Linked DNA regions of Anolis sagrei. The protein of the gene in region 3 interacts with the protein of the main gene of each other region in a biochemical or structural test. Links are inferred from orthologs where the notes say so. Each region holds a gene or a part of one and is shown on either strand. Other genes may lie near its edges. The genes, in order: BCL10, PRKCQ and caspase recruitment domain-containing protein 11-like.

Evidence for each region.
Region 1: the proteins of caspase recruitment domain-containing protein 11-like (region 3) and BCL10 form a complex in vitro, tested with the Homo sapiens proteins (2 studies listed by BioGRID, with this or other methods). The link is inferred for Anolis sagrei from reciprocal best matches to the Homo sapiens genes CARD11 and BCL10.
Region 2: of the proteins of caspase recruitment domain-containing protein 11-like (region 3) and PRKCQ, one has a biochemical effect on the other in vitro, tested with the Homo sapiens proteins (2 studies listed by BioGRID). The link is inferred for Anolis sagrei from reciprocal best matches to the Homo sapiens genes CARD11 and PRKCQ.

Annotation. Positions count from the first base shown.
Region 1 is NC_090024.1:154,599,849-154,611,043, reverse strand, and holds the start of BCL10 (B-cell lymphoma/leukemia 10), read right to left. Parts: upstream 5,424-11,195; 5' UTR 5,265-5,423; coding exon 5,193-5,264; intron 1-5,192. UniProt on the Homo sapiens protein: Plays a key role in both adaptive and innate immune signaling by bridging CARD domain-containing proteins to immune activation.
Region 2 is NC_090025.1:189,796,931-189,807,852, forward strand, and holds the start of PRKCQ (protein kinase C theta type), read left to right. Parts: upstream 1-6,729; 5' UTR 6,730-6,950; coding exon 6,951-7,167; intron 7,168-10,922. UniProt on the Homo sapiens protein: Calcium-independent, phospholipid- and diacylglycerol (DAG)-dependent serine/threonine-protein kinase that mediates non-redundant functions in T-cell receptor (TCR) signaling, including T-cells activation, proliferation, differentiation and survival, by mediating activation of multiple transcription factors such as NF-kappa-B, JUN, NFATC1 and NFATC2.
Region 3 is NC_090034.1:7,868,279-7,878,950, reverse strand, and holds the start of caspase recruitment domain-containing protein 11-like, read right to left. Parts: upstream 4,403-10,672; 5' UTR 4,322-4,402; intron 1-4,321. UniProt on the Homo sapiens protein: Adapter protein that plays a key role in adaptive immune response by transducing the activation of NF-kappa-B downstream of T-cell receptor (TCR) and B-cell receptor (BCR) engagement.

The DNA.
Region 1 (11,195 bases), on a different chromosome or scaffold from region 3:
ATGGCTGCCGCGCGCTGGACTAGCTGGAGCTTCCGGGCCGTCTTCAAGGGCAGCCCCACGTAGAGAGCGTTGCAGTAGTCAAGGCGGGATGTGACCAGAGCGTGTACTACCGTGGCCAAGTCAGACTTCCCGAGGTACGGGCGCAGCTGGCATGTTGCACTAAAGCCCGGCCCATTTGTGTTCATTTCACAGAAAGATGGGAAAGGACTAATAATATGGACTAACAGAAGGGAAAAAAGCATATGGCTGATTTCCCTTTAGAATGCATTCCACTTGCATACTTTAATTTTAAATGTTATTATAGATTACAAATGTTAAGACTATTAGGTATTCACAGGAAACATGCCTTGTCTCATGTTACAGTGTATGCTCAGGAAGTGAAGTTTTGTCTCTTTTGCAGCAATTCTATACTTTTATGCATTTTCTTGCTTAATTCAGCTATTCCCTGGAGTAAATACATAGAAGCTAAAAAAAAGCATGATCAAGCTACTAAAGCACCCTTGTTGTATGACCATTATATGACAAAGAAACAGAAAATATAAAATAGGTAAGATACTTATGCAAACGATAATAGAGGCTGGTAAACCATCCCTTTAAACATCCATTCAACCAAAGACATACTAAACAACTTGTGATATAATTTCTTTTTTCATCATAATCCTCGATAAAGGTTATGGCTTGCTAGTGATTACGTGTCCTTAGTATTTGCTTGACATGCTCACTATTGTCTCATTGGCAAATAAACAACTTGTTCAAGCAAGTTTAGAGTGAGGCTACAGGTATGCAACATATCTTTGGTATTGCCAGGAACCCAATGACCTTCAGTGCTAAAAATTCAAAGTACCTGCTCCAAAGTCAGGAAACATAGCAATGTAAACTTGACGTGTATACCAAGGGAATCTAAACAAGCCAATTTAAATATGGCAGAGTTTGAACCATACAAAATCATTTTCAGTCACTAGGTGGCAAACACTACTAACCAGTGCCTAGCTTTGTCATCAATAAAACTTGAATCCAGGAGACATTTTTATTAAGTGGGCTAAATTCTAGTTATGAGGAACTCCCTGGGTCTCTAAGGGTGAATCATGCCATTTACAAGCCAGGGGATCCCGTCAGTACAAGCTTTTCTCAGATGAACTGAAAACATGTGCATTAATAACTGTAAATCTTGGTTTGAAGCCTTTCATGTATCGAAATAAAATAATTTCTAACCCATGTGAAGTTGGGCAAAAAAAAGGCCCCACAAATTAATTGACTTTCTTCAATTACCATTCAAAATGAGTTCTAGTCATTTTAAGATTTGATAAACCAGAAGAATTCAATAAAAAATCTATTGGATTACAACAGCCAAAGGATCAAGAATTACAGCCATACACTATCAATCTTAAGGAACAGAAATGTCTTGTGATTTTTCTACAACTTTTCCAAGTCTGTCTGATGAGCTTCTCTTTGGAAAATATTTTATAAGTGCAGCATCACAGCAAAATGGATTTTCAATGAAGTCACTGTTACCTTATGTGTTGAAGGAAAAATTGCACAGAACAAGCCTTCACTAGAAGAATGCAAGGAGGTATTCTCCAGAAGGAGACCCAGCACGGTGTAGAGAGAGGTTTCAGCACTGGACTATGGCTCTGGATACTAGGGTTCAAATTCTCTCTCTGTTATGGAAACCCATAGGTTGACCATTGACAAGTCACATTCTCTTAGCCCAGTGGTTCTCAACCTGTGGATCCCCAGATGTTTTGGCCTTCAACTTCCAGAAATCATAACAGCTGGTAAACTGGCTGGGATTTCTGGGAGTTATAAACCAAAACATTTGAGGACCCACAGGTTGAGAACCACTGTCTTAGGCTAATAGAGTAAACCTCCCCTGAACAAATCTTGCAACAAAAAAACACCACATAGTAAGTTCACCTTAAGGTTGACATATGTCAGAAACAACTTGAAGGTGCACAACAGTTCTCCAAACAGTACACTGAACTTGAGTAAACAAATCACTTTGAAATAATTTTAAGCTCTTCCCTTCACATAAAACTATAATATTCCAAAATGAAGTTGTTGTATATATGTATCTATAAACACACACAGAGTGTATACACTCTCTCTCTCACTATATACACGCACACATATACATATACATATACGTGATGCAATTGATATGTGGTTGTGTTCCTGTGTGGAGAGCTGCTTTGGATGCATCTGTGTGGAAAAGCATCACACAAATTAATTGCAATAATTATAGAAAAAAGCCTGTGTTTGTGTGCAAAGCTACACTGCTCAATCGCTCCAAGATCGTGAAACTTACACATTTAAAATGGATTAAAGTTAAACTAATTTGGTTGTTTTGCTATCTGTGCCCCTGTTCAGAAGATTTCATTTCACTTTCTGCCCCTGTGATCATTGGATTTTGAAAAAAAAATGGCTTTGTGTGGAAACAAGGATTGGTGAGAAAGCTGCAGTGGAGACCCCTTCTCCCCATAATTTTTCATGAGTGAATTTCCCTTCCTATGAGCAGATTTCTCTCACTTTCTGTTGTCTCACCCTTGTTCTTAAGTCGGATGTTGGTAATTTGAGGTCTGCCTGTACTTATATTGGCTTTTAAGTGATAATAAGACCACTCCGTTTACTGAGCCATAAAGAGATAGTCTGAATATCATCACATCATTGAATGTAGGAAATTTCTCAGAAAAGTTGTAGCATTAACTTTATTACCCTTCAACCATTGGAGTTTAGAACAGGAAAAAACAAACCTGGACAAAGTGCAAGAAGGAAAGAGTTACCTCCGTTGACTCATGCGTGTATCAAGATCGGCTACAAAAGAGGGGAATTCCTCTAAACACTCCAGGAGAGACTCCTACATAAAAAATTTGCAAACTGGGGCAGAACGCATGCCATTTGATTGACCTTCCTTCCTCTTTTCGTGCTGTTCTACATCACTAGCAAACCTCACGCCAAGGATTTTCCTTGATTCTGAATGAAGGTTTCCCTTCCTTGTCTGTGATTTCCAGAGGCTATTGCTGCTAGGTGTGGTGACTGTGGCCTCATCTACAATGCCATATAATCCAGTTTCTGCATCCAGATTATCTGATTTGAACTGAATCATATGGCAGTGTAGATTCTGGGCCCTTCCACACAGCCCTATACCACAAAATATTAAGGCGGAAAATCCCACAATATCTGCTTTGAAATGGATTATCTGAGTCCACACTCAGATAATGTGGAATTTCCTGCCTCGATATTCTGAGATATAGGGCTGTGTGGAAGGGCTCTTAGCTTGTGTTCACTGTTAAGGGAGCTAAGTGTAGGCAGCAATCCAGACATGGCTTTTGAGTTTTACTACCACTTGGTTTACCAAATAGCAACCTCATTCTCCAAATGACTATGTTGCTCTCCAACTCTAGAGACTAACTGTTGTCAATGCTAGTGGCTAAAATGAAAATTCAATGCTATTTTGCTGAAAACCATCAGTGAAGTGGCCAATGGGTGAGGTTTCCTGCTCACAGTCCCCTCCCTCCACCCATTATGTTCACTTCCAGTACAGTGAGCTCTTTTTATCTGCTGCAGTTTGAGGACTCAAGCCCACTATATATAACATGTATAATAAAATGGTGTCCCTTATATAGATTGACAACATCTATATGAAAGTCCCTAATTTGTGGTGGAGGTTCCTTCTTTGGAGGCTTTTAAGCAGAGGCTGGTGGGATTTGTGACATACAAATGCTTGTATGTCACTGTTGATTGTTTATTGTCTATTTTTTATGTATTTATATGAATTGTATTGTATTGTTTTATTGATGTATTGTGGACTTGGCCTCATGTAAGCCGCACTGAGTCCCTTGGGGAGATGGTAGCGGGGTACAAATAAAGTTATTATTATTATTATTATTATTATTATTATTTGTCAGGGGTGCTTTGAATGCGATTTTCCTTCTTGGCAGGAGGTTGGACTGGATGGCCCATGAGGTCTATTCCAACTCTATGATTTATTTTAATTGCTTTGTATTGTGGTTGTTTTGCTTGTATTGATGTATGGTGGGCTCGGCCTCATGTAAGCCGCACTGAGTCCCTTGGGGAGATGGTAGCGGGGTACAAATAAAGTTGTTTATTATTATTATTCTATGATATAGATTGACAAATACTTTTGAACTGTGGGAGATGTAATTAATGGGTGCAGAATATGTGGATACAAAAGTCCAATTGTAGAAGCCTGCTTATATATATATTTATTTACATACTCTATTTTTGTCCCACCTTTCTCTCAATACAGGGTCTCCAGGCGACTAACAACAAATATTTAAATACATTTGAAACTACATGCTGTCTGTATTGTTTGAGTCCCCTTCTACGCTGACATATAAAATCCAGATGATTCGCTCTGAACTGGATTATATGGCAGCGTAGACTCAGATAATCCAGAGCAAAGCAAATTTTGTGGATTACCTGCTTTGGTAATGTTTACTATATGGCAGTGTGAGAAGGGGCATCCTATAATCCAGTTCAAAGTAGAGAATGTGGATTATATGATAGTGGAAAAGGGGGCTGAGTCTACACTGCGATATAATTGAGTTTAAATCTCGATTTCATATGGCAGTGTTGAAGGGGCCAATGCCTTGTCACCTAGCCCCCTTCTACACTGCCATATTTATTTATTTATTTATTTATTTGCTGCATTTGTTAACCGCCGCTCTCAGCCCTAGGGCGACTCGCGGCGGCGTACAACATATAAAAACACATTTCACAATAAACTACAACTACAAAAAACAACATATCCCTAATACATTATCATCTAATTACACTAAATTAATCCGCTATTAAATTAATATATATTAATTAAATATATTAAATTAATATAAAATCCATATTGTCTGCGTTGAACCGGATTATATGTCAGTGTGGATTCATATAATCCAGTTCAAAGCAGATAATGTGGACTACATGGCAGTGGAGAAGGGCGCCGAGTCCACACTGCAATATAATCCGGTTTAAAGCAGATAATCCGGATTTTATATGACAGTGTAGAAGGGGCCAATGCCTTGTCACCAAGCCTTCTTCGCTGCCATATAAAATCCAGGTGATCTGCGTTGAACGGCCTTATATGACAGTGGAGGTTCCTATAACCCCGTTCAAAGCAGATAATCCGGACTGTATGGCAGTGTAGCTGCAGTCCTAGTTTCCCTCGTTTGCCCACTTACTTCCTTCTTCACCTCCGCCATCTCGTCGTCGGTGAGAGGCCTCTCCGGCAGCGCCCCCGCGGAGCCCGCCATGGCGGAGAACGCCCAGCGCGCCTTCGAGGGCCAAGCCAGCCGGGAAAGGCCAGGACCGGAAGCAGCCAGGGAGCCTGAGAGGAGAGCACCCAAGGCCGGGCCGAAGCCGGACTCTCCCGGAGTGCCACCAGGACTTCCGGCGCCGTGCCTCGCGAGGCCACACCTCCTGTGCTTCCGCGCCACGCCCCCTCCCGGCAACAGCGGCGCCCAACCTTGGTTCCGCCAGGTTTTTGACTTCAACTCCCAGAAGCCTCAGTGAGCGCGACTGAGTGCCGGGAATTCTGGGAGCTGAAGTCCAAAGCTCATGGGGCTCTACTCCTAAGGAAGAGATGCTCGCTTGCCCTGGCCAGGTTGCACCCAAATAACCCTAAACATTGATTTGAAATATGTATTTATCTCGAGATCTTTTCAGCAGAGATAACTCGGTGAGAATGGAGACTTAGGGCCCTTCTACACACCCAGATAACCTAGAATATGAAGGCCCTTCCACACATCTGAATAAAATCTCACAATATCTGCTTTGAACTGGGTTACCTGAGGCCCCTTCCACGCAGCTGTATAAAATCCACATTGAACTGGATTATATGGCTGTGTGGACTCAGATAATCCAGTTCAAAGCAGATAGTGTGGATTATTTGCCTTGATATTCTGGGTTATATGGCTGTGTGGAAGGGCCCTGGGTCCCCACTGCCATATATTCCACTTGAAAGCAGACAGTGTGGGATTTTATTCAGCTGTGTGGAAGGGCCCTAATTCTGGAGTGAGTTGATTCCTCATTCAAACTATTTATATATCCCTAGGCTTAAAAGCTAGAGAACAGAACAAATTGTAACTTTTTCACTTAGACCCCTTCTACACTGCCATGTAATCCAAATTATCAAAGATTATATGAGGGCTCTTCCACACAGCCATATAACCCAGAATATCAAGGCAGACACTCCACAATATCTGCTTTGAACTGGGTTATCTGGGTCCACACTGCCATATAATCCAATTCAAAGCAGATAATGTGGGATTTATGCAGCTGTGTGGAAGGGGCCTGAGTCTACACTGCCTTATAATCCAATTCAAAGCAAGCATTCTGGATGATATGGCAGTGTAGAAGGGGCCTTACTATTATTTTCCTAACCTAAATACCCAAAAGGCATGAACATGTTTCTGATTATATTATGTCATTCGATTTTGATTCCTGGGTTACAAATGTCATTTCCTAATTGGTTTTATCATTAAAAACACGAGAAAAGTTTGTTAAACTGCTAAAAATCTGTTTTTGCAAGACATCCTACAGCACATTTTGCTATAGTTTTTCAATGAATAGCTCATAGAGTCAACATAATTTGTGGCAGCCACAAAAACGAAGTTTCTGGAGTATAACAACTATTTTCAAAGAAAAGATCAAATAATTAAACAGGAAATAACACTTTCAAATCAAGAACAGATTTTTTTTTCAAATTTTGTTACATCATGCAATGGAAGCTAAGCAAGATTAGCTCTGGTTTGTTCTTGGATGGGAGGCTGCCAACAAAAGAACAGATACGTAAGCTATAATTCAGAGGGAGGAACTGCACAAACCACCTCTAAGGGCCCTTCCACCCAGCCCTATATCCCAGAATATCAAGGCAGGAAATCCCACATTATCTGTGGACTCAGATAACCCAGTTCAAAGCAGACATTGTGGGATTTTCTGCCTTGATGTCCTGGGATATATAGGGTTGTGTGGAAGGGCCCTAGAAAGGTCACTAATGACTTTTCTCAGATCAAACAAGACCATGTGTCTTTTCAGTAATATGAAGTGAGTTCAATATTTTTTTAAATTATATCTCATGATTTTTGCATCTGCTTTGTTCTTGTCCTTGTAGATGGCATGTTTTAACCTTATCCTTTTACCTCGACAGCCTCCTAAGGAGTTCAAAGCCTGGACTACCAGTGTCGTGCCTCACCCTGAGAGTTATAGCGTCAGAGAAACCAAGCCGCCTCCGGAGCTGGATATGGCGATCAAATGGTCCAATATATATGAAGATAATGGTGACAAGGCTCCCAGAAACGCAAACAAGGTCAACTTCTTACCTGAAGATGAAGAGGAGGAACCTAAGGCCACCTATAAGAAAGGAGAAGGACAGTAATGATTTGGTTTGGCTTCCAGTATATTGTGGGATTTTCTGCCTTGATATTCTGGGATATAGAGCTGTGTGAAAGGGCCCTGAGCCTTTCTTGCCTAAGAAAATCCTATGTAGTTCAAGAGATCACCATAAGTCAACAGGGAACCTGACACGCTATTAGTTCGGTGAGCTGGAAATCTTGGAAACATCCAGCTTTTAAAAGAAATATTCCTGGGAAAATTCCAAAAAACTGGTATGATTAAATTCTTGTGATTCATCCTATGTCCCAGGGCCATTTATCTTCCTCTTCCTTCTTGAATGAGAAGGGGGAAGCACAGATGGTCCTTTACAGCACTTAAGATGTTTAGATTACATTTCTTTTCAAAAAGCTTTGAGCATGCCCACGCAGATCTCACAGCATCCAGAGCCAACAGTGATCAAAGACACAGAAGAGATCTGAATGATCAGTGGCTGTAATTGTCTATACAGGGACATGGGATCTGAATTAGCATTGCTCAAACTACCGATCATGTCATACAACTTCCTTCATACAGGGACTGGAATCTCCAAGTGGATGATGCAAAGCAGGCACATCAAGTGAAATGAAACAGTAATAAGCAACTCTCTTTTTGTTCACTTCTTTGTAGTAGTCCTCAAGTAATTTAGTCCTCTATAATATTAGGACCTTGAAGTGACTGGCTTGACCTTGAAGGAGCTGGGGGTGGTGATGACCGACAGGGAGCTCTGGCATGGGCTGGTCCATGAGGTCACGAAGAGTCGGAAGCAACTGAACGAATGAACAACAAAAAATATGATGACCTTGGAAAAGCACCTTTTACTTTTGGAATGCAATTATGCTGAAGATTCATCACTTAGGAAAGCAAGAGACCCAACATTTATTGTAAGGAAATTATTTTCTGATTATAGAAAACGAAGTTCCAAATTAAGATGGTGATCCAGGGAGCAGGGCTTAGCCTCACCCTCTCAAGAACAAAGTCACAATGGCTTTTCTCGAAGAAGTGCAAAAAAAGGAGGAAGAGACACCAGGACTCTCAAGATTTCTCAGGCCCTGTCTATACTGCCATACAATGCAGTTTGAAACTGCATTATATGGCCAGTGTAGACTTACTGTGCATATTGCAGTTCGATGTGGTTCAAACTCCATTTTATGATTCTGACCAGTTTCTGGCTAAATTATAATCAGAGTGTAGATGGGGCTTCAATCTACAGGTGAATCTACGCTATAGAATTAATGCATTTTGACTTCACTTTAACTGCCATGGTTCAATGCTATAGAATCCTGGGAATTGTAGTTTGGTGAGGCACAAGCACTCCTTGGCAGAGAAAGCTAAAGACCTTGTAACACCAGAATTCCAGGGTTTCATAGCATTGAGTCATGGCAGTTAAAGTGATGTCAAGCTGTCAGGATTTAGTGGAAAGCCAATGTGACAGCATATACAGATAGCTAATTTCTAGATCAGGATGACAAGGCAAGTGTGAGGTAATGGCAATGTGCCAGGGATGATGCGATACCATAAGTGACTAGCTGGGTCTTGTATAAAAATAGAATAGCAAACATGTTAGGTTGTTGTAGGTTTTTTCGGGCTATATGGCCATGTTCTAAAGGCATTCTCTCCTGACGTTTCGCCTGTATCTATGGCAAGCATCCTCAGAGGTAGTCACCCCTCAACTCCTACCTCTGAGGATGCTTGCCATAGATGCAGGCGAAACATCAGGAGAGAATGCCTCTAGAACATGGCCATATAGCTCGAAAAAACCTACAACAACCCAGTGATTCTGGCCATGAAAGCCTTCAACAATACAGCTAACATGTTGTTTGGTTGGTTTGTGTTGTTGGTGCATTGGCGTCGTTGCTGATAGTTGATGAACATTTGAGAGATCTGCGTTGGAGAACTTGCTGAGAGTAAGGTCCCTTCTACACTGCCATCTAATCCAGATTATCAAATCAGATAATCCAAATTACCTGCTTTGAACTTGATTATATGAGTCTACACTGTTAAGGCAGATAATCTGGATTTTATATGGCAGTGCTGATGAAGCCTTAGAGACTCAGCTTGCTTTCCTCGCTTAGAGAAAGAGGAGAATAATCCCAACACAAATTACATTATTTGTACAATGTAGAAGCACTTTAGATCTGGAAGGAAGATCAGTCTGAGTTGCAGTACATGATGGACAGTCGTGGAAACCTGAGGTCTACTTATTTACTTCCCCCACCAGGCAGGCACATGTATCTCAAGTTGCATTTCCAAAATAAAGCAAAACTGTTGTCATTTTTTTCTATCATTTCTGAGGAACAGGTTTGAATGTTTGCTGTGCCTTTGTATTGCCAGACATACTGGATTCAAAAGACGTAAACACAGTGTATCACCGGCGATTTCAGGAGACCTTCTTCCCTTCTGCTGCCTTTTGTGCTGCCCCAAACTAGATCTGGGAGGGAAAAAAGGATTGAGACCTATCTTATCCAATTTTGGCGGTTTACAGAGGACTATATTTAGGAGCCAGGATTACATTCACCTTATCCTATTCTATTTTGTCATTCCAGCAATGAAAGTCCATTGCAGAATTGTACCTGCCAGTTTGAAATTCATCTTCTACAAGAAAGAGAGAGAAATGCCACATCCATTTCTGAGCAGTAGAAGCATAATCACCCCAATCTGAAATTGTTTAGAGAGGCTATTGCAATGATTTCATTTCAAGAGAGCAGACAGTGGGAATATCACGCGTTTTGTGATACCAGGGAACCGTAAAAAGCCCTTTCTCAGTAGCACTTTTCTTTTCTGCTGTGCAGGAAAACAGATACAGAGAGGTGGCAGATCCTATTTCTGAAGACAATGAGTTTCTTGTGAGAAAATATCTGAAGATATTTGGAAAGTGAAAAAAAATTGGTGCACTGAAAAAGTTCTGTTATAGAGACAAGGAGCAAATACTTCATTTTCATTTTTAGTCATAGAATCATAGAGTTGGAAGAGACCTCATGGGCCATCCAGTCCAACCCCCTGCTAAGAAGCAGGAAAATTGCATTCAAAGCACCCGACAGATGGCTATCCAACCTCTGTTTAAAATCTTCCAAAGAAGGAGCCTCTACCACACTCTGGGGCAGAGAGTTCCACTGTTGAACAGCTCTCACTGTCAGGAAGTTATTCCTAATGTTCAGATGGAATCTCCTTTCTTGTAGTTTGAAGCCATTGTTCCGCGTCCTAGTCTCCAGGGCAGCAGAAAACAAGCTTGCTCCCTCCTCCCTATGACTTCCCCCCAGCCTTCTCTTCTTCAGGCTAAACATGTCCAGCTCTTTAAGCTGCTCCTCATAGGGCTTGTTCTCCAGACCCTTGATCATTTTAGTCACTCTCCTCTGGACATTCCAGTTTGTCAATATCTCTCTTCAACTGTGGTGCCCAGAATTTCAAACCCAGCTTTACTTTATAGACGTTGTGTAGGTGCAGTATGGTCTCATCCTTCTGCATTTATAAGCACAGGATAATGACAATATTCTTTCTACAAGCTAGGGGATAGTATTGATTTTCCATGTCCAAAGGAAAAACAAACTTTCATATTCTATGACACCAGCTATTCTAGATTAAAATAATACAGGGGCCGAGCTTAGCACAGCAGGCTAAACTGCTTTGCGGCAGAAAAATCCTGCCGATCAGAAGGTCAGCAGTTCAAGCCCGGGTGGGGTGAGCACCCACTGTTAGCCCCAGCTCACCTCTCCACCTAGCAGGTCGAAAGCAGAAATGCGAGTAGATAAAATAGGTACCGATTTTGGCGAGGAGGTAATAAAGGGCACCCCTAAAAGGACAAGGGGTCCCTAGTG
Region 2 (10,922 bases), on a different chromosome or scaffold from region 3:
GGGCAGAGAGTTCCAATGCTGAACAACTCTCATCATTAAGAAGTTCTTCCTAATGTTCAGGTGGAATCTCCTTTCCTGTAGTTTGTGAGACCTCGTGGACCATCCAGTCCAATCCCATTCTGCCAAGAAGCAGGAAAGGCACATTCAAAGCATCCCCAACTGATGGCCATCCAGCCTCTGCTTAAAAGCCTCCAAAGAAGCAGCCTCCACCACACTCCAGGGCAGAGAGTTCCACTGCTGAACAGCTCTCACAGTTAGGAAATTCTTCCTAATGTTCAGGTGGAATCTCCTTTCCTGTAGTTTGAAGCCATGTCATAAAAAAGGTTCTCCATCTGCATTCAGTAGAGCAAATATCTGTTGGTTCCATTTTTAAAAGGGGCAGGAATACATTAGATTGATGTTTTCCCTGGTAAGTTGGCCTAACTTCTGAGACCGTAGGCCATTTTAGAGATTTTTTAAAATTATGGTGTGCATATTACCGCGTATTGCATTGACTGTTTTGCAACAACCTCTCTGACTTGAAGGGAAACAATTTCCAATTTCTTTGTTTAGCCAAAGTTTTCCCATAATATGTTGGGCCATTAGGCAAAGCAGAAATTCCACCGCAGGCAGGCAGTTTTTAGAGCTGTAAAAAGGAAAATAAATTGTTAATTATTAAACTTTTTTTTTAATTGGCAGGGAGAGGTCTTTGTGGTTGTTTTGGCCTCAGGTGCCCAAATTGCTCAGACAGCTTTGGGTTCAACACACCTTAAACTGAGAAGGCAGGCAAGCATTTTCTATTTCACCTCTTTTTCATGCCTCAGTCCCACCTTGGGTTACAGGAATAGTGAAATTCCACCAATTTCTCAGGTTTGTTTAATGATTTTTGAACTTTATCTCCAAAGGCTGTAGTTTAAGGAGGATATAAGTTGAACATCTCTTATCAAAAAAGCTTGGGACTGGAAGTGTTCCATATTTCAGATTTTATTAGTATTTTGTTCATATGTAAAGCAATATCTGGAATTCCAAAATTGTCCACATGGATGGTTGAGATTCTGACACCTTTGATTTCTGATGATTCAATGTACACAAACTATTTCGTGCACAAAGTTATTTAAAATGTTGTGCATAAAATTGCTTTGGTCTATATGTATAAGATGTATATGACACATAAATGAAATTGGAGTTTAGATCTGGGTTCTGCTTCAAAATCCCCCAAAAATCCAAACTCCAAAACACTTCTGTCCCCAAGCATTTTGGATAAGGTATACTCAACCGGAATTTATTTTGGTCTCTCTCTTTCCAGAAAATATTCAGAGGATGCTCATAACTGGAAGCTCTAAACTGTATCTTACTTTTACTTGCACATAATATAACAATGCTTAAGGGCATTACAAAAAATAGTGAGTTGGAGTTACAAGAAGGGAAGTTTTCAACTGAACTTTTGGAGAAGCTTCCTAATAAGAGGCTTGTTCATTGTGCCCATTATACTAAGGGATGACAGGATCTCCTTCATCAAAGTTCTTCTCAAAGAGAAGAGATCTTCTTTCGTCAGGTTTGAATCTTCATAAGCAAACAATACATCCTTATTGTATTGTTGAAGGTTTTCATGGCTAGAATCACTGGGTTGTTGTAGATTTTTCGGGCTGTATGGGCATGTTCTAGAAGCATTCTCTCCTGATGTTTCGCCTACATCTATGGCAGGCATTCTCAGAGGTTGTAAGGTATATTGGAAACTAAACAGACAACTAAATCTTGTCTGTTGGAGGCAAGTGTTAGTGTTGTAATTAATCACCTTGATTAGCATTTATTTATTTATTTACATCGTTTTTATCCTGCCCATTTCAGCCCAAAGGCGACTCAGGGAGGCATACAGAACCGACACACACACACACACACACATATATACATACATCTCTCAATTAAAAGCAATTAAATTATATCATAAATACATATAAAAATCATAGAAGCAATCTAATGGCCTTGCAGTTCAAGGCCTGGCTGCTTCCTGCCTGGGAGAATCCTTTGTTGGGAGTTGTTAGCTGGCCTTGATTGTTTCAAGTCTGGAATTCCCTTGTTTTCAGAGTCTTACTCTTTATTTACTGTCCTGATTTTGGAGGTTTTTTTAAAAAAAACGGTAGCCAGATTTTGTTCATTTTCATGGTTTCCTCCTTTCTGTTGAAATTGTCTACATGTTTGTGGATTTCAGTGGCTTCTCTGTGTATTCTGGCATAATGAAACTGCTTTAATTATGCAGTGCAGATGCATCCTAGGTGTTACTCTCATTGGAGTCGATGCAGAGATGTGCATCACACTGCACTGTTTTAATAATAATAATAATAATAATAATAATAATAATAATAATAATAAGTTTAGGACAGGAGTACCCCCAAACTATTCCAGTTTAGGACAGGAGTACCCCCAAACTATTCCAAACCATTCAATTTCCCTAGGATTCAATGTGGCTTTTCCATTTAGCATTCTGCTCTTGGTTTATTGCATCATTTCTTGGAGATGGGTTTCCACCTTGTATAGTTGGGACCATGACAAAGAAGCCAGATCGCCATTCTATCACAGTTCCCTTCGCCCTTCATATTTCACAAACAAAAACGGTATCAAACATTCACGCTCTGGTTTTGGCATTTCTTCTTGTTTCATTGAAACAGTTCGATTTCCTGAAACATCACACACAGGCGGGCGAGCTTCCTGCCCCAACCACAGGCGTATTTGTACTCACTCCAATGTTGTGTTCACAACTATCGGCACAGGCAGATGCGCTGGTGGGTTGAAGAGGAAGAGGTGCCTCTCATCCCCAAAGTCCAACCATCCCACATCAACATGAACATAATGGCAAAAGTTATTAATGAGGAAGAGCAAACTAGCTAGGAGATGTTGAAGTGGCTTGCTTTTGCCTGAGCCTACTGGGAAGGGTGGGCTTAATTTTAGTACATTTGGTTATTTCACAGATTTGATTAATATGGTCTCTGAGGGAATCTCTCGGTCTTCCTGTGCAATTCTTTATTGAACGCCTGCTGGAAGTTTCAAGCTACATTATATGACAGTGTAGATCCAGCACCAAAAAACCCAAGGAAAGTGAGATCCTAAAGCTCAAGAAAACAAGGTGGGTTTTTAAAATAGGATTTAGGGAGGGTTGTTGTAGGTTTTTTGAGCTATATGGCCATGTTCCAGAAACATTATCTCCTGATGTTTTGCCTGCATCTATGGCAGGCATCCTCAGAGATTGTGAGGTCTGTTGGGAACTAGGAAAATTGGGTTTATATATCTGTGGAATAATATCCAGGGTGGGAGAAAGAACTCTTGTCCATTGGAGTTAGGTGTGAATGTTTCAATTGGCCACTTGATTAACATTTGATGGCCGGACAGTTTTTAGGTGTAGCTTGTTCGTGCCTAGGAGAATCCTTTGTTGAGAGGTGATTAGCTGTCCCTGATTGTTTCTTGTCTGGAGTTCCCTTGTGTTTGAGTGTTGTTCTTTATTTGCTTTTATAATTTTAGGAAGGGTTTTCTTAAAGGATTTAGGGAAACGTCTCCTGATGTTTCACCTGCATCTATGGCAGGCATCCTCGGACCTCACAACCTCTGAAGATGCCTGCCATAGATGCAGGCAAAACGTCGGGAGAGAATGCTTCTGGAACATAGCCATACAGCCCAGAAAACTCACAGCAAACGAGAGAAGAAAGTGTTTGAGCCCAGTTGCATCCAAAATTCAGCAGACTGGAGTCTTGATCAAGAGAGGAAAAGTTATTATTATTATTATTATTATTATTATTATTATTATTATTATTATAATAAACACAACAAGATGAATCCACAGCAGGCAATATCACTCTGCTGACTGTTGTATTGGATCACACGTCGGACACTTCCCAAGTGTCTAGTACTGTGTGATGTATCAGTGAATAATGCGTGCAGATCCCAGTAAGGTGGCCTTCTGCAGCTGGCAGATGGTAATTTTGTCAGTGCCGATTGTGTTTAAGTGCAGGCCAAGGTCTTTAAGCTCTGTACCCAGTGTGCTATCACCACTGGGACCACCTTTATTGGCTTGTTTCAAAGTCTTTGAAGTTCGATCTTTGAATCCTCATATCATGTCAGCTTTTCCAATTATTATTATTATTATTATTATAGCATCACCATCATCATTATTATTGAGCTTAAGACAGATTTGGATTCTTAAATAGATATAGTAATATAATATACACAAAGGAGGGTAATTTGCAATGGCTTCTTTCCTCACATATAAAGGAAGGCTATAGAAATACTACACATTACAATCACTAGAGGCTGGATCTACACTGCCATATCATTCAGTTGGAACATCTCAGTGGTGGATCCATCTAATGCAGTGATATGAATCCAACCTAACCATATAATATATATTTCCAGCCAGAGATCATCCCTGGGGCGGGGAAGGTCTGAGTGTATTATTTACATCTCCTTGGAGTGTATTTACAATGCGTAATGAAGGCAGTTTGACACCGCGACCTCTGAGGATGCCTGCCATAGATGCAGGCGAAACGTCACGAGGGAATGCTTCTGGAACATGGCCATACAGCCCGGAAAACTTACAGCAACCCAGATTTAGGGAGGGTTTTTTGGTCCACGTCCCCATAATCCCCAACTCTGCATGGTTGGGGAATTCTGGTTTTTGTTAGTAGTCCCAAAAGAGAACTTCCTCCACATTCTGTTCTGTTTTCACAAGGAAGCAGCCCATGAAAGAGGCTTCAGTTTCACTTTGCACGCCTACAACAAGTGGAGAAGCCTGAGCCGTGATCTGTCTTGTATTTTTAAGAGAGGGTTTCTGTAAGTGAAACCTAGCCAATGAGTCACAGGCCATTTCAGGAGAGTTGAAGCGAGCAGCACCAAATGCTAATGGGGCAATGTGAGAATCCTCCTCCTGTGCAACCGGACACTTTCCATCCTAGCAGAGGCTGTTTTGTAATTAGAGGACAAACAGTTTGCTTTCTGGATGGATGGCACTTGCAGGTGGAAAGCGCTGGCAGGAGTAGCCTTTAAGTTCTGGAAAAAGAGGTGACGTGGAAATGTTAGTAGCCTGTCTGGCATAAGATGCATTTACATCAGGCATGGGCAAACTTTGGCCCTCCAAGTGTTTTGGACTTCAACTCCTGCAATTCCTAACTCCACCAATGATGGAATTGAACCAAACTTGGCATACAGAACTGCCATGACCAACAGAAAATACTGGAAGATTTTGGTGGGCATTGACCTTGAATTTGGGAGTTGTAGTTCACCTACATCCAGAGAGCATGGTGGACCAAACTTGGCACAAATCCTCAATGTGCTGTCACACACTGGGCCTGTGCATTAGACTGTAGACAGGACATAAATTCTGTGTGCCCAACGGGACGCCGGGGCTGCCTCAGATTAAAGGACCTTAGATTCCCCCAAAACAAAGTTCTGTAGAGGCTTAAAGTAAATCCAACAAAGTTCTTTATTGATGAAAACAAACAGGTACTTTAAAGCATTCTTAACAGTCTATTGGCTCTGCAATCTTGGCTGTATAACTCCAGTCAGGCTGTAGGCTGTATATCTCCCCGGATAAGCCGTAGAAGATGAAGCTTTCCACAGGAGTTCTTCGTTTTATGTCCTGTGCGAAAGCTTCTCTGTGAGAACTGACTCAAAAGGGCTCCTATTCCCTCCAAAAACCCAAAATGGGGTGGGACCAGGGAACCTAACTATAATAGACAGGTGGCAGCCTATAACAGGAAGCCACCCTGCTGCAAAATCCCAAGGCTGGGATTGCAAACAAACATTTAATGCAAAGCAAACAGAATTGGAGCTCCTGGTAGAGCTGTACCAGCACACTCAATATGCTCAAATGTGAATACTGGTGGAGCTTGAGGAAAACAGACATTGACATTTGGGAATTGTAGTTGCTGGGATTTATAGTTCACCTTCAATCAAAGAGCATTCTGAACCCCACCAACAAGAGAATTGAACCCCCATAACCAACAGAAAATACTGTGTTTTCTAATGGTCTTTGATGACCCTTCTGACACCCTCTCCCGATCACCCCAGGGGTCCCGACCCCCAGGTTGAGAAACACTGCTCTAGATGGAGAATATATTTTGGTTCATTAGGGGGACTTGAGTCTCACTCAGCCTGCTTAGGTCCTGCCCTGGGAGAAAGGCATCCTATAAATCCAATAAATAAATGATGAAAGAACTCATGTCCAAAATAAATAAGTGAAAAGTTGGTCATGCTGCTTTAAAAGTGTTTCATTTCTGATCTTGCTGCTCTCATTCATTTCGTAGTTGGTTGCAGAAAAACGTTGCGAGTGCTTAAAGTGCTGTAGCGTTCTGCTCTTTTCTGTTGCACCAACCTGACCTGCCTCTGTATAAATCATTTTGGTGCCTCTGCAAAGGATTCAAAGGCTGGCCATTCTTTTGTTACTGTGCCATCTTATTTTCTGCTACAGAGGGGCGATTTCCCAAAGGCTCTGTCAGCTTCATTTCCCTCCTGTATATAAATAGCGCATTTAACACTTGACAGCATCATGTTGAACCGTGCAGTCTACCAAGCAGTCACTTTGCAGTGTCATTTGGCAAAAGGCATGGGATCTGTCTGTTTCCCTGGCGATGGCCAGCGGCAACTTGTGACTTTGCATTAACCCTTGCAAGGGTCAATGAGCACATACTCTCCTTTTTTTTCTCTTCAGCATCCAATATGTAATTTTGAACTTTTTTGTAGAGCTATTTCTGCACAGGATTTTTTTTTTTTTTTTTTTTTTGCATGGACAAAATCAATCGGCTGTTATTCCTGGCCATTGCCTGGTGACCAACATTGGAGCCTCCGGCAATGCAGCTGAGCAGACAACGGATCGAGCGGCGGTCTTGTGCTATGCCTGGTTGCGTGGCAAACTTTTGCTAACTCAGCCAACTGGGGATCAGAGAAAGGGAAATGCTGTTGGGATGGATAAGGGGCATTTGGATTAAATGCCTCGGCTTGGCATGAGCGATAAAGTCAGCAAGGCAAAGGCGGCTTTGAAAATCTATCCCATCCATGTCTGCTTTCTGGCCCATGCAGTGCCCACCATGTCGCCCTTTCTCCGGATCGGCCTCTCCAACTTTGACAGCGGTCCCTACCTGCCTTCCCAAGGAGATGTGGTTGATCCATACTGCGCCGTGATGGTCAAAGAAGCCACAGAGGGTGGTAAGCATGTGTGGTTATATTCAGGCAAGGCTGGGTGTTGTGTGGGCTCTTCCATCAGATGTAACCCAATGTATGCATCCAAAGTTATTGTCGATAACTATTATAAGTTGATTTCCATTTATTGTGGCCCTCTGAATGAAGGATTTTAATGCAACCTTATTTTTTCATGTCAGAAGCAACTTGAGAAACTGCAAGTTGCTTCTGGTGTGAGAGAATCGGCCATCTGCAAGGACGTTGCCCAGGGGACGCCTAGATGATTGATGTTTTACCTGTCATGATGCCAAGGCTCTGCCTGTACCCAGGTAGAGATTAATCAAACAAACATCCAGTTTGTATCAAACAGTTTAATTAAAACAGCACTTACTTTCTGGCTGGTTTAATAGTCCAAAATATAAAACATAAAGATAGAACTCAGCCACAGAATATAAAACAAAAACTGATAGCAAATGCTAAACCGTAGTCAATTGGTCCAGTCCAGTGGTCAAATGCCGAGAGTTCAATGAGCAAAGTCCAGGGATCAAGAATCTATACCATAGTCCAAAGCCAGTCAAGAGATTCAAAGTTCTAGGGTTCCAAGAGTTCAGGAGACAGGTCAGAATACTAAAAATCCAAAGACCTGGGGGCAAACCAGCAGCATCTACCACCAAAATAAGACAAACAGCTCCTTAAATACAGTAACACCCAGCTGCAACCTATGCCTTGCATGCCTCCACTCTTAATTGCTTTTACCTGTAAAGTGTTACTTACAAATTACTCAGCCCTTAAGAACTAAGATTTACATTAATCCTATCACCAACTGCAAGGTCGGCCACCACCAACCACCATCAACTGCGGGACATGATAACATGACATTACCATCCTGTGGGAGGCTTCTCTCATGACCCCGTATGGGTAGCTGGAGCTGACAAAGGGAGCTTACCCCACTTACCACCAACCTGTCGGTCAAATAGTCCTGCCAACATAGGGGTTTAACCCATTGTCCCACCGGGGGCTTCATACGCAAGCCTATGAATGAGAGTAACTCCATTCTCGACGGCCTTGCTCAGATCATACAAACTCAGGGAGGTAGCTTCCCTGATTGAAAACTCTATTGTATAGAGCAGGGGTCCTCAAACGAAGACCCGGAGGCCAAATATGGCCCTCCAAGGTCGTTTACCCGGTCCTCGCTCAGGGTCAACCTAAGTCTGAAACCACTTGAAAGCACACAACAACAACAACAACAACAACAACAACAACAATACTATCTCATCAGCCAAAAGCTGGTTCACACTTCCCATTGAAATACTAATTTCAATGGGAAATTCTTCATTTAAATTATGGAATTGTTTTTAAGTGTTTTTTGCACTAGAAATAAGATATGTGCAATATGTATAGCAATTCATTCTTCTTCTTTTTTTTCAAATTATAATCCGGCCCTCCAACAGTTTGAGGGACTGTGACCTGGCCCTTTGTTTAAAAAGTTTGGCGACCCCTATGCAAACTGGCATAGAAGCAGGACGGTCATTTTTGGTGGCTGTCCCTTTGGTACAATACTATGAGATATCCACTGCTGGTCCATCACCTGCCTGCAACAAAGCCCTTTCCAGCTATTAATGAGCAAAACTCATCAATAGCTTATTTATTTATTGTGTCATCCGCAACTAGACATTTGTATTACATTTTTAACAAAAACAAACAAACAAATAGACAAAACACAGAATTTGCAAGCTTGGTAGTTGATTAAATGTCCTTTGACCAGTATCTGGCCACTTGGAGTGCCTCTGGTGTTGCCGCAGGAAGGTCCTCCATTGTGCATGTAGCAGGGCTCAGGTTGCATGGCAGCAGGTGGTCAGTGGTTTGCTCTTCTCCACACTCGCATGTTGTGGATTCCACTTTGTAGACCCATTTCTTAAGGTTGGCTCTGCATCTTGCGGTGCCAGAGCACAGTCTGTTCAGCGCCTTCCAAGTCGCCCAGTTTTCTGTGTGCCCAGGGGGGAGTCTCTCATTTGGTATCAGCCATTGATTGAGGTTCTGGGTTTGAGCCTGCCACTTTTGGACTCTCGCTTGCTGGGGTGTTCCAGCGAGTGTCTCTGTAGATCTTAGAAAACTATTTCTTGATTTAAGTCATTGACGTGCTGGCTGATACCCAAACAGGGGATGAGCTGGAGATGTCACTGCCATGGTCCTTTCACTATTGGCTGCTACTTCCCGGCGGATATCAGGTGGTGCGATACCGGCTAGACAGTGTAATTTCTCCAGTGGTGTAGGGCGCAGACACCCCATGATAATGTGGCATGTCTCATTAAGAGCCACATGCACTGTTTTAGCGTGGTGAGATGTGTTCCACACTGGGTATGCATACTCAGCAGCAGAGTAGCATAGCACAAGGGCAGATGTCTTCACTGTGCCTGGTTGTGATCCCCAGGTTGTGCCAGGCAGCTTTCGTATGATATTTTTTCTAGCACCCACTTTTTGCTTGATGTTCAGGCAGTGCTTCTTGCAGGTAAAAGCACGGTCCAGAGTGACTCCCAGGTATTTGGTGTGCAGTAATAATCAATAATCTGAGGATTGTGCTATGTTATCACAACCTGCCTGGCATTTCTATGGTGGCATACCAGTGACATCAGGAGGCAGGATTGTCCTCTTCTCGCACTCTCAGTTCACAATTAAAGGAAGGATTTTTCTTTTCTTGTTAAATTTTTTTACTTTACGGAATTGGAAAGTGTCTCAGAAAGCCTTTCCATTTAGCACTCTGGTCTTGTGGTATGCCACAAGAAAAGTGACATACCAGTAATGCAGTTATTACTCTCACCCGGCCACTGGAACTCACACCGCTGGCACACTCCATTACACTATGCTAACGGTGGTACGAAAATGATGGTACCAATGCTAGGAAGTTAAACATGAGCCAACAATGTGATGTGGCGGCAAAAAAAGCCAATGGGATTTTGGCCTGCATCAATAGGAGCATAGTGTCTAGATCTAGGGAAGTAACGCTACCCCTCTATTCCGCTTTGGTTAGACCACACCTGGAATATTGTGTCCAATTCTGGGCACCACAATTCAAGACAGATATTGACAAGCTGGAATGTGTCCAGAGGAGGGCGACTAAAATGATCAAGGGTCTGGAGAACAAGCCCTATGAGGAGTGGCTTAAGGAGCTGGGCATGTTTAGCCTGAAGAAGAGAAGGCTGAGAGGGGATATGATAGCCAGTATAAATATGTGAGAGGAAGCCACAGGGAGGAGGGAGCAAGCTTGTTTTTTGCTTCCCTGGAGACTAGGACGCGGAACAATGGCTTCGAACTACAAGAAAGGAGATTCCATCTGAACATGAGGAAGAACTTCCTGACTGTGAGAGCCGTTCAGCAGTGGAACTCTCTGCCCCGGAGTGTGGTGGAGGCTCCTTCTTTGGAAGCTTTTAAACAGAGGCTGGATGGCCATCTGTCAGGGGTGATTTGAATGCAATATTCCTGCTTCTTGGCAGAATGGGGTTGGACTGGATGGCCCATGAGTTCTCTTCCAACTCTTTGATTCTATGATTCTATGATTGTAAGTTGCCGCTAATCCTAATCATGTGAATGGTGTGTGATATTTTGAGTCTTGTTTTCTGGAATGCCATCTCCCTCTTTTCCAGTAACCACCTGGGGACGCCCTGCTCTCGCTTCCACCTTATTCTCAAGCACGGGTGGTAGAGACGAGAGATAGGGCCTTCTCAGTGGTGGCCCCTCAGCTGTGTAAACCCCTCCCTAGCAATATCAGGGCAGCTCCCACCCTC
Region 3 (10,672 bases):
AATGTCCTTTGACCAGTATCTGGCCACTTGGAGTGCTTCCGGTGTTGCTGCAAGAAGGTCCTCCATGGTGCATGTGGCAGGGCTCAGGTTGCATTGCAACAGGTGGTCAGTGGTTTGCTCTTCTCCGCACTCGCATGCTGAGGATTCCACTTTGTAGCCCCATTTCTGAAGGTTGGCTCTGCATCTCGTGGTGCCAGAGCGCAGTCTGTTCAGTGCCTTCCAAGTCGCCCAGTCTTCTGTGTGCCCAGGAGGGAGCCTCTCATTGGGTATCAGCCATTGGTTGAGGTGCTGGGTTTGGGCCTGCCACTTTTGGACTCTCGCTTGCTGAGGTGTTCCAGCGAGTGTCTCTGTAGATCTTAGAAAACTATGTCTAGATTTAAGTCGTTGGCGTGCTGGCTGATACCCAAACAGGGGATGAGCTGGAGATGTCTCTGCCTTGGTCCTTTCACTATTGGCTGCTACTTCCCAGCGGATGTCAGGTGGTGCAATACTGGCTAAGCAGTGTAATTTCTCCAGTGGTGTAGGGCGCAGACACTCCGTGATAATGCGGCATGTCTCATTAAGAGCCACATCCACTGTTTTAGTGTGGTGAGATGTGTTCCACACTGGGCATGCAGACTCAGCAGCAGAGTAGCACAGCGCAAGGGCAGATGTCTTCACTGTGTCTGGTTGTGACCCCCAGGTTGTGCCAGTCAGCTTTCGTATGATATTGTTTCTAGCACCCACTTTTTGCTTGATGTTCAGGCAGTGCTTCTTGTAGGTCAGTGCACGGTCCAGAGTGACTCCGAGGTATTTGGGTGCGCTGCAATGCTCCAGTGGGATTCCTTCCCAGGTAATAATCCTCAGAGCTTGGGATGCTTCTCTGTTCTTGAGATGAAAGGCACATGTCTGTGTTTTAGATGGGTTGGGGATCAGCTGGTTTTCCCTGTAATAGGCAGTAAGAGCACCTAGAGCTTCGGAAAGCTTCTGTTCTACCAACTCAAAGCTCCATGCTTGAGCAGTAATGGGTTTGAGTGATGCTGTGGTTGATGTTCCCAGACAATGTTATGGGCAGGACTCTGGTGGTACTTACTTACTTAGGCGATCCCTCGTTGCCCGAGTAGGATAATCCTCCAGGGTAGGTGATTATGGAGCCCTAATCTTGACCTGCATGTTTTCCCGCAGTTTTCCTACCAGCTGTTAGGAATTGTGGGAGTTGGAATCCAAAACACCTGGAGGGCTGAAGTTTGCTCATGCCTGGTCTACACTGGGCATGGACTTCATCCCATGGGTTTAGGGCTAAGTTTCCATGCGCTTTGGAAACAGAATCCCACAGAGGCCATCACATGACGTAAGGGCACTTCTGATGGGACTCTGTGGAGCTCTGTTTCCAAAACACATGGAAACAGACCCCTAAATCCATCTTCAGGAGTGACCAGCCACTGCCAGAAGGGACAGAGAGTTTCATCTATGCTGATGATCGTGCCATTACCGCTCAAGCAGGGAGCTTTGAGATGGTAGAACAGAAGCTCTCCGAACCTCTAGGTCAGTGGTTCTCAACCTTCCTAATGCCACGACCCCTTAATACAGTTTCTTATGTTGTGGTGACCCCCAACCATAACATTATTTTTGTTGCTACTTCATAATTGTAGTTTCGCTACTGTTATGAATCGTAATGTAAATATCTGATATGCAGGATGGATTTTCATTCACCGGACCAAATTTGGCACAAATACCCGATACGCCCAAATTTGAATACTGGTGGGGTTGGGGGAGACTGATGTTATCATTTGGGAGTTGTAGTTGCTAGGATTTATAGTTTGCATACAATCAAAGAGCATTCTGAACACCAAGGAAGGAATTGAATCAGACCTGGCCATAAAGAACTCCCAAGACCAACAGAAAATGCTAGAACGGCTTGGTGGGCATTGACCTTGAGTTTTGGAGTTGTAGTTCACCTACATCCAGAGAGCACTGTGGACTCAAACAATGATGGATCTGGACCAAACTTGGCACAAATATCCAAAATGCCCGAATGTGAACTCTGATGGAGTTTGGGGAAAATAGACCTTCACATTTGGGAGTTGTAGTTGTTGGGATTTATAGTTCACCTAAAATCAAAGATCATTCTGAACTCCACCAATGATAGAATTGGGTCAAACTTCCCACACAAAACCCCCATGACCAACAGAAAATATTGTATATTCTGACGGTCTTTGGGGTCCCCTCTGATACCCCCTCGTGACCCCCCCCGGGTCCCGACCCCCAGGTTGAGAAACACTGCTCTAGGTGCTCTTACTGCCTATTACAGGGAAAACCAGCTGATCCCTAATCCATCTAAAACACAGACATGTGCCTTTCATCTCAAGAACAGAGAAGCATCCCGAGCTCTGAGGATGATCACCTGGGAAGGAATCCCACTGGAGCATTGCAGCACACCCAAATACCTGGGAGTCACTCTGGACCATGCTCTGACCTACAAGAAGCACTGCCTGAACATCAAGCAAAAAGTGGGCGCTAGAAACAATATCATATGAAAGCTGACTGGCACAACCTGGGGATCACAACCAGACATACTGAAGCGCTATGCTACTCTGCTGCTGAGTACGCATTCCCAGTGTGGAACACATCTCACCACACTAAAACAGTGGATGTGGCTCTTAATGAGACATGCCACATTATCACGGAGTGTCTGCGCCCTACACCACTGGAGAAATTACACTGCTTCGCCGGTATTGCACCACCTGACATCCGCCGGGAAGTAGCAGCCAATAGTGAAAGGACCAAGGCAGAGGCATCTCCAGCTCATCCCTTGTTTGGGTATCAGCCAGCATGTCAACGACTTAAATCTAGAAATAGTTTTCTAAGATCTACAGAGACACTCGCTGGAACACCTCAGCAAGTGAGAGTCCAAAAGTGGCAGGCTCAAACCCAGAACCTCAACCAATGGCTGATACCAAATGAGAGACTCCCCCCTGGGCACACAGAAGACTGGGCGACTTGGAAGGCGCTGAACAGACTGCGCTCTGGCACCACGAGATGCAGAGCCAACCTCAAGAAATGGGGCTACAAAGTGGAATCCACGACATGCGAGTGCGAAGAAGAGCAAACCACTGACCACCTGCTGCAATGCGCCCTGAGCCCTGCCACATGCACAATGGAGGACCTCCTTGCACAACACCAGAAGCACTCCAAGTGGCCAGCTACTGGTCAAAGGACATTTAATCAACTACCAAACTCACAAATTTTGTATTTTGCCTGTTTGTTTGCTTTGTTCTGTTAGAAATGTAATATAATTGACTGGTTGCCCTGACACGACAAATAAATAAAAGGAGTTGGTGTTATCTCACTCATAGAATCATAGAATCAAAGAGTTGGAAGAGACCTCATGGGCCATCCAGTCCAACCCCATTCTGCCAAGAAGCAGGAATATTGCATTCAAATCACCCCTGACAGATGGCCATCCAGCCTCTGTTTAAAAGCTTCCAAAGAAGGAGCCTCCACCACACTCCGGGGCAGAGAGTTCCACTGCTGAATGGCTCTCACAGTCAGGAAGTTCTTCCTCATGTTCAGATGGAATCTCCTCTCTTGTAGTTCTCCATACAGGAGAAAGCAACAGAAAGCGGGGGAAAGACGGACCTTGATGTGGAAAGGATGTGGGATGGCTAATCATTCCAGAAGATGGGGAAAGTTGGGAGGAAACGGGGTAAGATAGTTCCCTCTGCTTTCCCAGCACTGGTGGGATGAGGTCACATATAGTGCAGTTCAAAATATATTATATGACAGTGGAGATTCAGTCTGAGTTGCTTTAATCTCTCAGTTCCTCAAAGTATTGGACTTTGGCTTTCATCTGCTGTAGTAGTATAACCAATATGGAAGAGTGCTGGAAGCTGAAGCCCAAAAATGAGCAAAGGGCACAGTTCTTTGGACCAAGAAGACACCCCACCCCATGAAGCTGAGGTTCTGCACAGTTTCCAGCTCCACCAAGAGTAGCATTGAGGGAAGTTAGGACTGCAGTTGCTCTCCTAAAAAAGTATTTGAATGAGGGACTTTCTGTCTTTCTGTTCAAACCAAGGCAAGCTACTGCAGAATCTTCAAGAGAGAGACAGAAAGAGAGAGAAGAACAGACCTCACTATCTCTGAGGATGCTTGCCATAGATGCAGGCGAAACGTCAGGAGAAATGCCTCTAGAACATGGCCCTATAGCCTGAAAAAACCTTCAAGAACCTAGAGAGAAGAACGTTATAAGAAAACGAGAAACGGGTGAGTGACGGGAGCTGGGACAGCTGAACTCCCTTTCTGACGTTCCTGAAATTCATAAAGAATGAACTTATGGGCCTACCTCAGAACCTCTTGAGAAGCAGAGACGCTTATCTGTGGTCTGTGGCAATGCAAGGAGAAGAAGACTCTGATTTTGATGTTCTTCAAGCCAGCACCTGACACAGCAGCGCGGTGGATTTCCTCATTTTCTTTGCTTTCGTTTGCACCCCTTCAAAACACAGCTCCCGCAAACATGTGTCCGGAAGCACCCACTCACTCAACGCTGCCCTTTTTCAACCTCAAGCCTATATTTAGCAGGAAAGAGGCCTCCACGGCCTGCTTCACTTCCCTTTCGCTTTTCGGCTCAGCGGCTGAGAGTGGCTTTCTGTAAGGCTCTTCACCATGGCGGACAACCAAAACAGAAGCTTTCTCCAGGAGATGGAAAGTCAGCTCGCTTCCTAGAATGGATGAAGAGAAAGGAAAACAACCATCAGAGATGAAGAGGAAGTCCTATCTGTGTCATGAATGACTTTTCAATGACTTTAAAGCAGTGGTTCTCAACCTTCCTAATCCCGTGACCCCTTAATACAGTCCCTCATGTTGTGGTGACCCCCAACCATAACATTGTTTTTGTTGCTACTTCATAACACTCATTTAACTATTTTTATAAATCATAATGTAAATATCAGATATGCAAGATGTATTTTCATTCACTGGACCAAACTGGGCACAAATACCCAATGCACCCACGTGTAAATGCTAGTGGAGTTGAGGGAGGATTGATTTTGTAATTTGGGAGTTGTAGTGTCTGGGATTTATAGTTCACCTATAATCAAAGAGTATTCTGAACTCCACCAGCAATGGATTTGAACCTAATTTGCCACACAGAACTCCCATGACCAACGGAAAACACTTGAAGGGTTTGGTGGGCATTGACCTTGAGTTTGGGAGTTGTAGTTCACCTATATCCAGAGAGCACTGTGGACTCACGCAATGGTGGATCTGGGCCAAACTTGGCACAAATACTCAATATGCGCAAATGTTAACACTGGTGGAACCTGGGGAAAATAGACATAGAACACTAGTGGACTTTGGGAGAAATAGACCTTGACTTTTGGGAGTTGTAGTTGCTGGGATTTATAGTTCACTACAATCAAAGAATGTTCTGAACTTCACCAACGATAGAATAGGCTCAAACTTCCAACATGGAATCCCTATGACCCATCAGAAAATACTGTGTTTTCTGATGGTCTTTGGCGACCCCTCTGACACCCCTTCGCGACCCCCTCAGGGGTCCCGACCCCCAGGTTGAGAAACACTGCTTTAAAGCATTGGTTCTTTTTATTGCCATTTCCAGTGTGAGAGGATACATCAGATTACAGAAAAACTTCTAGATAAAGTATGACATTGAACATACAGACATACAGATTCTATGCAACTACATTGGATTTACAATTACAAACAAACAAAGGAGAATTACATTTTCACTCAACATTCACACACATGTACATGCATTCATCCTCATGCACCCAAACATTTGCCCTCCTGGGAGAAGCACCTGTTGGTCCAGACCCTGCTTTCCTGAGCCTGTCAATGCACAGTTCCATAACGGCAAAACTTCAAATTGCCGAAATGCCAAAACTTCTTTCCCTAAGAACAATGCCAAGGACCAGATCTCTGTTTTCCATACAACAGAACCTGACTCCCCGCACAAAATCCAAGACTCCAAAAGTGCACTTCTTCCTCTTCCCTTGAGAAAGAAGGCCAAAGTGACCAGACTGCTCCCTTGCAAACCTGCCACTCTCCAAATACACCATCTTTCTCCTTCCCATGGACCAGAGAGGCGGGTGGAACAGACTCCTCAGGTCTGCCACACTTTGAACATTATTAGACTGAGTCTTTTACAGGAATATTCTGTTGATGTAATCCCAAACTTGTTAATTAATGATATACTTCTTCCATCCTGGCTCCATCTCAGTTTCCTGGCCAGATGTTGATCTTCTTGATTGGTGTTAACAAACACAAGGCTTGTGTTGACTTCCTTCTTAACATAAGGAATGTTGCAAACATTTCCTTAACTTGAAAGAACCGTTGTCACAGTCTTTATCAGAGTTTACTTTGAAGTTCTCATTAGCAACTTTTAATTACAGTCCAGGTCAGCAGGTATAGTCACTGCAGGCCTTAATATTATGCTGGTGTTTCCAAAATTATTAGCTCCATCCATACATTCATCTTCCATTCTTCCATTCATTCCCACACATCATATTACATTCACATTATCAATTCTGCACAGTGAATTTATTACATCTGTTTCAAAAGCCAGAGCTTGGAAAAGGTCCTTTATTTGAGGGAGAAAATCACTATCACCCAGAATGTTACTTTTTGGACTTTGGTTCCCAGGATGTCCCAGCCAGCATGGCCACTGAGGCTCTGGGAGTTGTAGCCCTAACAGGCATTGGCACCAACCATCACATAACATACATATTCCACATTATAGATGGGAAAAGCTATTACACTGTGCAATACAATTTTTATTACTGGGTTGTAGATGTCAATTCTTAATTGATTCTATCATTACATCATGACAATTGCATCTCTGTATGCAAACTGGCCCACGCCGTGCGATCCATGGAGTAGGCCCTACTCTCATTCCCACCCCCATCTCAAGCACAGCTGGTGGGAACGAGAGACGGGGCCTTCTCCATGATTGCTCCCTGCCTCTGGAACTCCCTCCCAAAAGAATTTAAAACTGCTCCCCCTCTCTTTGCTTTCAAAAAACTGCTGAAAACCCACCTATGTATTGTGACGTATGGAGAGGGGGAAGACTAAAATACCCAACTTATATTCTTGCCTAGAAATGTTAAACCTTGTTTAGAGACTAGAACTCACCTCAGCCTGCTGGTCGTTACATAACATGTCATCTTTTATAATGGTTTTAGCCTTGGAAAATGTGTGTGGTGTGCACACTCAGAAAGTGTGTGTGTGTGTCTGCAACCAAGCACCTCCTCTGGAGTAAACTTGCCTCCTTGCCTTGGAAAATGTGTGTGGTGTGCAGGCCCAGAAAGTGTGTGTGTGTGTCTGCAACCGAGTGACTCCTCTGGAGTACACTTGCCTCCTTGCCTTGGAAAGTGTGTGTGGTGTGCAGGCCCAGAAAGTGTGTGTGTGTGTCTGCAACCGAGTGACTCCTCTGGAGTACACTTGCCTCCTTGCCTTGGAAAGTGTGTGTGGTGTGCAGGCCCAGAAAGTGTGTGTGTGTGTGTGTCTGTAACCGAGCGCCTCCTCTGAAGTAAACTTGCCTCCTTACCTTGGAAAATGTGTGTGGTGTGCAGGCCCAGAAGGTGTGTGTATGCATGTCTGCAACTGAGCGCCTCCTCTGGAGTAAACTTGCCTCCTTGCCTTGGAAAATGTGTGTGGTGTGCAGGTCCAGAAAGTGTGTGTGTGCATGTCTGCAACCGAGTGCCTCCTCTGGAGTAAACTTGCCTCCTTGCCTTGGAAAATGTGTGTGGTGTGCAGGTCCAGAAAGTGTGTGTGTGTGTGTCTGCAACCGAGCGCCTCCTCTGGAGTAAACTTGCCTCCTTGCCTTGGAAAATGTGTGTGGTGTGCAGGTCCAGAAAGTGTGAGTGTGTGTGTCTGCAACCGAGCGCCTCCTCTGGAGTAAACTTGCCCCCTTGCCTTGGAAAATGTGTGTGGTGTGCTGGCACAGAAAGTGTGTGTGTCTGTCTGCAACCGAGTGACTCTTCTGGAGTAAACTTGCCCCCTTGCCTTGGAAAATGTGTGTGGTGTGCAGGCCCAGATAGTGTGTGTGTGTCTGTCTGCAACCGAGTGACTCTTCTAGAGTAAACTTGCCTCCTTGCCTTGGAAAGTGTGTGTGGCATGCAGGCCCAGAAAGTATGGAGGTGCCTGCAGCCGAGCACCTCCGCTAGAGTAAGAAACAAGTAAGAAGCCTCAAAGCAAACGCCTACCGGCATCTAAGTGCCTTTCCTCTCCTCTAGAGTAGAGCTTAAATGCCTAATATGACAGGAAAGGGAGCCTGGGAAGCCCCCTTCCCCATTATGGGAAGCTCCCCCCCCCCCCATAATGTGCTGATATAAAACAGATCTTTTGGACCCCAGAGTGAAAACAGATATCTGCCCACCCAATTTCTAGAGCAGTGGTTCTCAACCTTCCTAATGCCATTACCCCTTAATACGCTTCTCATGTTATGGTGACCCCAACCATAAAATTAGTTTTGTTGCTACTTCATAACTGTCATTTTGCTGTTGTTATGAATAGTAATGCAAATATCTGATATACAGGATTTATTTTCATATACTGGACCAAATTTGGCACATATACCCAATACACCCAGATTTGGATACTGGTGGGATTGGGGAAGGGTATTGATTTTGTCCTGTGGGAGTTGTAGTTGCTGGGATTTATAGTTCACCTACAATCAAAGAGCATTCTGAACTCCTCCAACGATGGAATTGAATCAAACTTGGCACACAGAACTCCCATAACCAACAGAAAATACTGCAAGGGTTTGGTGAGCACTGACCTTGAGTTTTGGGAGTTGTAGTTCATCTACATCCAGAGAGCACTGTGGACTCAAACAATGATAGATCTGGACCAAACTTGGCACGAATTCTCAATATGCCCAAATGTAAACACTGGTGGAGTTTGGGGAAAATAGACCTTGACCTTTGGGAGTTGTAGAAAATACTGTGTTTTCTGGTGGTCTTTGGTGACCCCTCTGACACCCTCTCCCGACCCCTCCAAGGGTCCCAACCCCCAGGTTGAGAAACACTGTTCTAGAGGCTCCCAAAAAATGGATCAGAACCTCCACTGAAAGCCAGGATACAAAACAGGTCAAGGTTTACCCTGAATACACAACCCTAATTACTATTATTGTACAGATGTGGAAGTTCACCTGGTTTTTCTTCCTTATTCAACCACCCTCTCTATTTTGCCTTGCAGAGATGTTTTGCATGAATTCCTGTTAATGCCAGATGCTAGAGAATTAGAAGATCATGGTCACACAGAGCTTTAGTTTCAATCAATCCTGTTTATTTGGCAAACAAATGCAGGTTATAGCCCCAAAGGCAAAAAGGGAAAAGCAGTCAGAGCCAAACAGATCAAGCACGCTCAATCCACGGAATCGGAGAAAAATCCTTCCGTCAACAATTGCACCGCAAGCATCTGCCTAAGTTGAGCAGTTCTTACCACAAATCTCGCCGTATTAAACCTGGCCCATGTAACCATACCAGGCAGCAAATATCTCACTTCATCCTTCCTGCTCTGGGTGGGTGACTCCCAATTCTGAGCGGCTTTGCTTCAGGTATTTTCCCTTACTGCAGACAATGTAACGGACAATCTAGCAGATTATGTATCGTATCCAAATAAAATACATTATACCGCCCCATTTTGAAGTTGTCGGAAGGAGAAAAGGCCCATGCAGGGCAATGGGAAATTATTTGCACATATCGGTGCCCATAAAAACTGTGTTAATGGCTTCGAAACTCATACACATAAAACTAACAAGGCTCTGAATGATGTGCATATATAGGGTCATAGGGTCATGCGCATACTGGGAAGCTGTATATGTTTATTCACTCGTAAAACCAACAATTCTGCAAAATTCTGTACATGCAAATGTTACAGAAAATTAAATCCAAATTCTGTGCTAAAAAAAGATCTGTTCCATAACCCGGCAAAAGAGGAAGCTTATTTTACCCCTGATTTCCTACTAAATATTTGCATAATTTATTTTGTTTATGTTTACTACTTTGCATAATTCCTCCTTGTGCAAATAACCGGCATGGGTAAGGAGCTTGCGGGAAGGTCACTGATCAATGAGGCTGGATGGCCATCTGTCAGGAGTGATTTGAATGCAATATTCCTGCTTCTTGGCAGAATGGGGTTGGACTGGATGGCCCATGAGGTCTCTTCCAACTCTTTGATTCTAAGATTCTATGATTGTAGAATAAATTCAGTTTGAAACCACTTTAATGGCCATGGCTCGATTCAGGGAATTGGAGTTTGGTGAGACATTAACACTTTTTGACCTTGGAAAACTGTGGCATAATGTAAAATAAACCACGTGTAGTTCACATCTGGTCAGTCCACACACTGCCTTGCCAGATCAAGAAAATATGCCACTCAGGTGAACAATAAAGAGCAAGTAGTTTACTCTTATTAGTTCAGAACAACACATGCACAATGTGATCTCTTGCACCAACTCACATACTGTGCTTTTAGGAGAGATTTAAAATGGTCTTTCTCTGTCCATGTGAATAAACTCCTTCAGCAGCAAGAGTATACTCTAAAATCTGTCTCTCTCTGCGTCTCTCTTTAAAACTGTCTCTCTGCATCAAACCTGAACAAAAATGCAACGGTAAGCAAAAGTCCCAGGCTCAGCCATTTCCCCGGGCATTACCTGACCAATCTTCAGCAG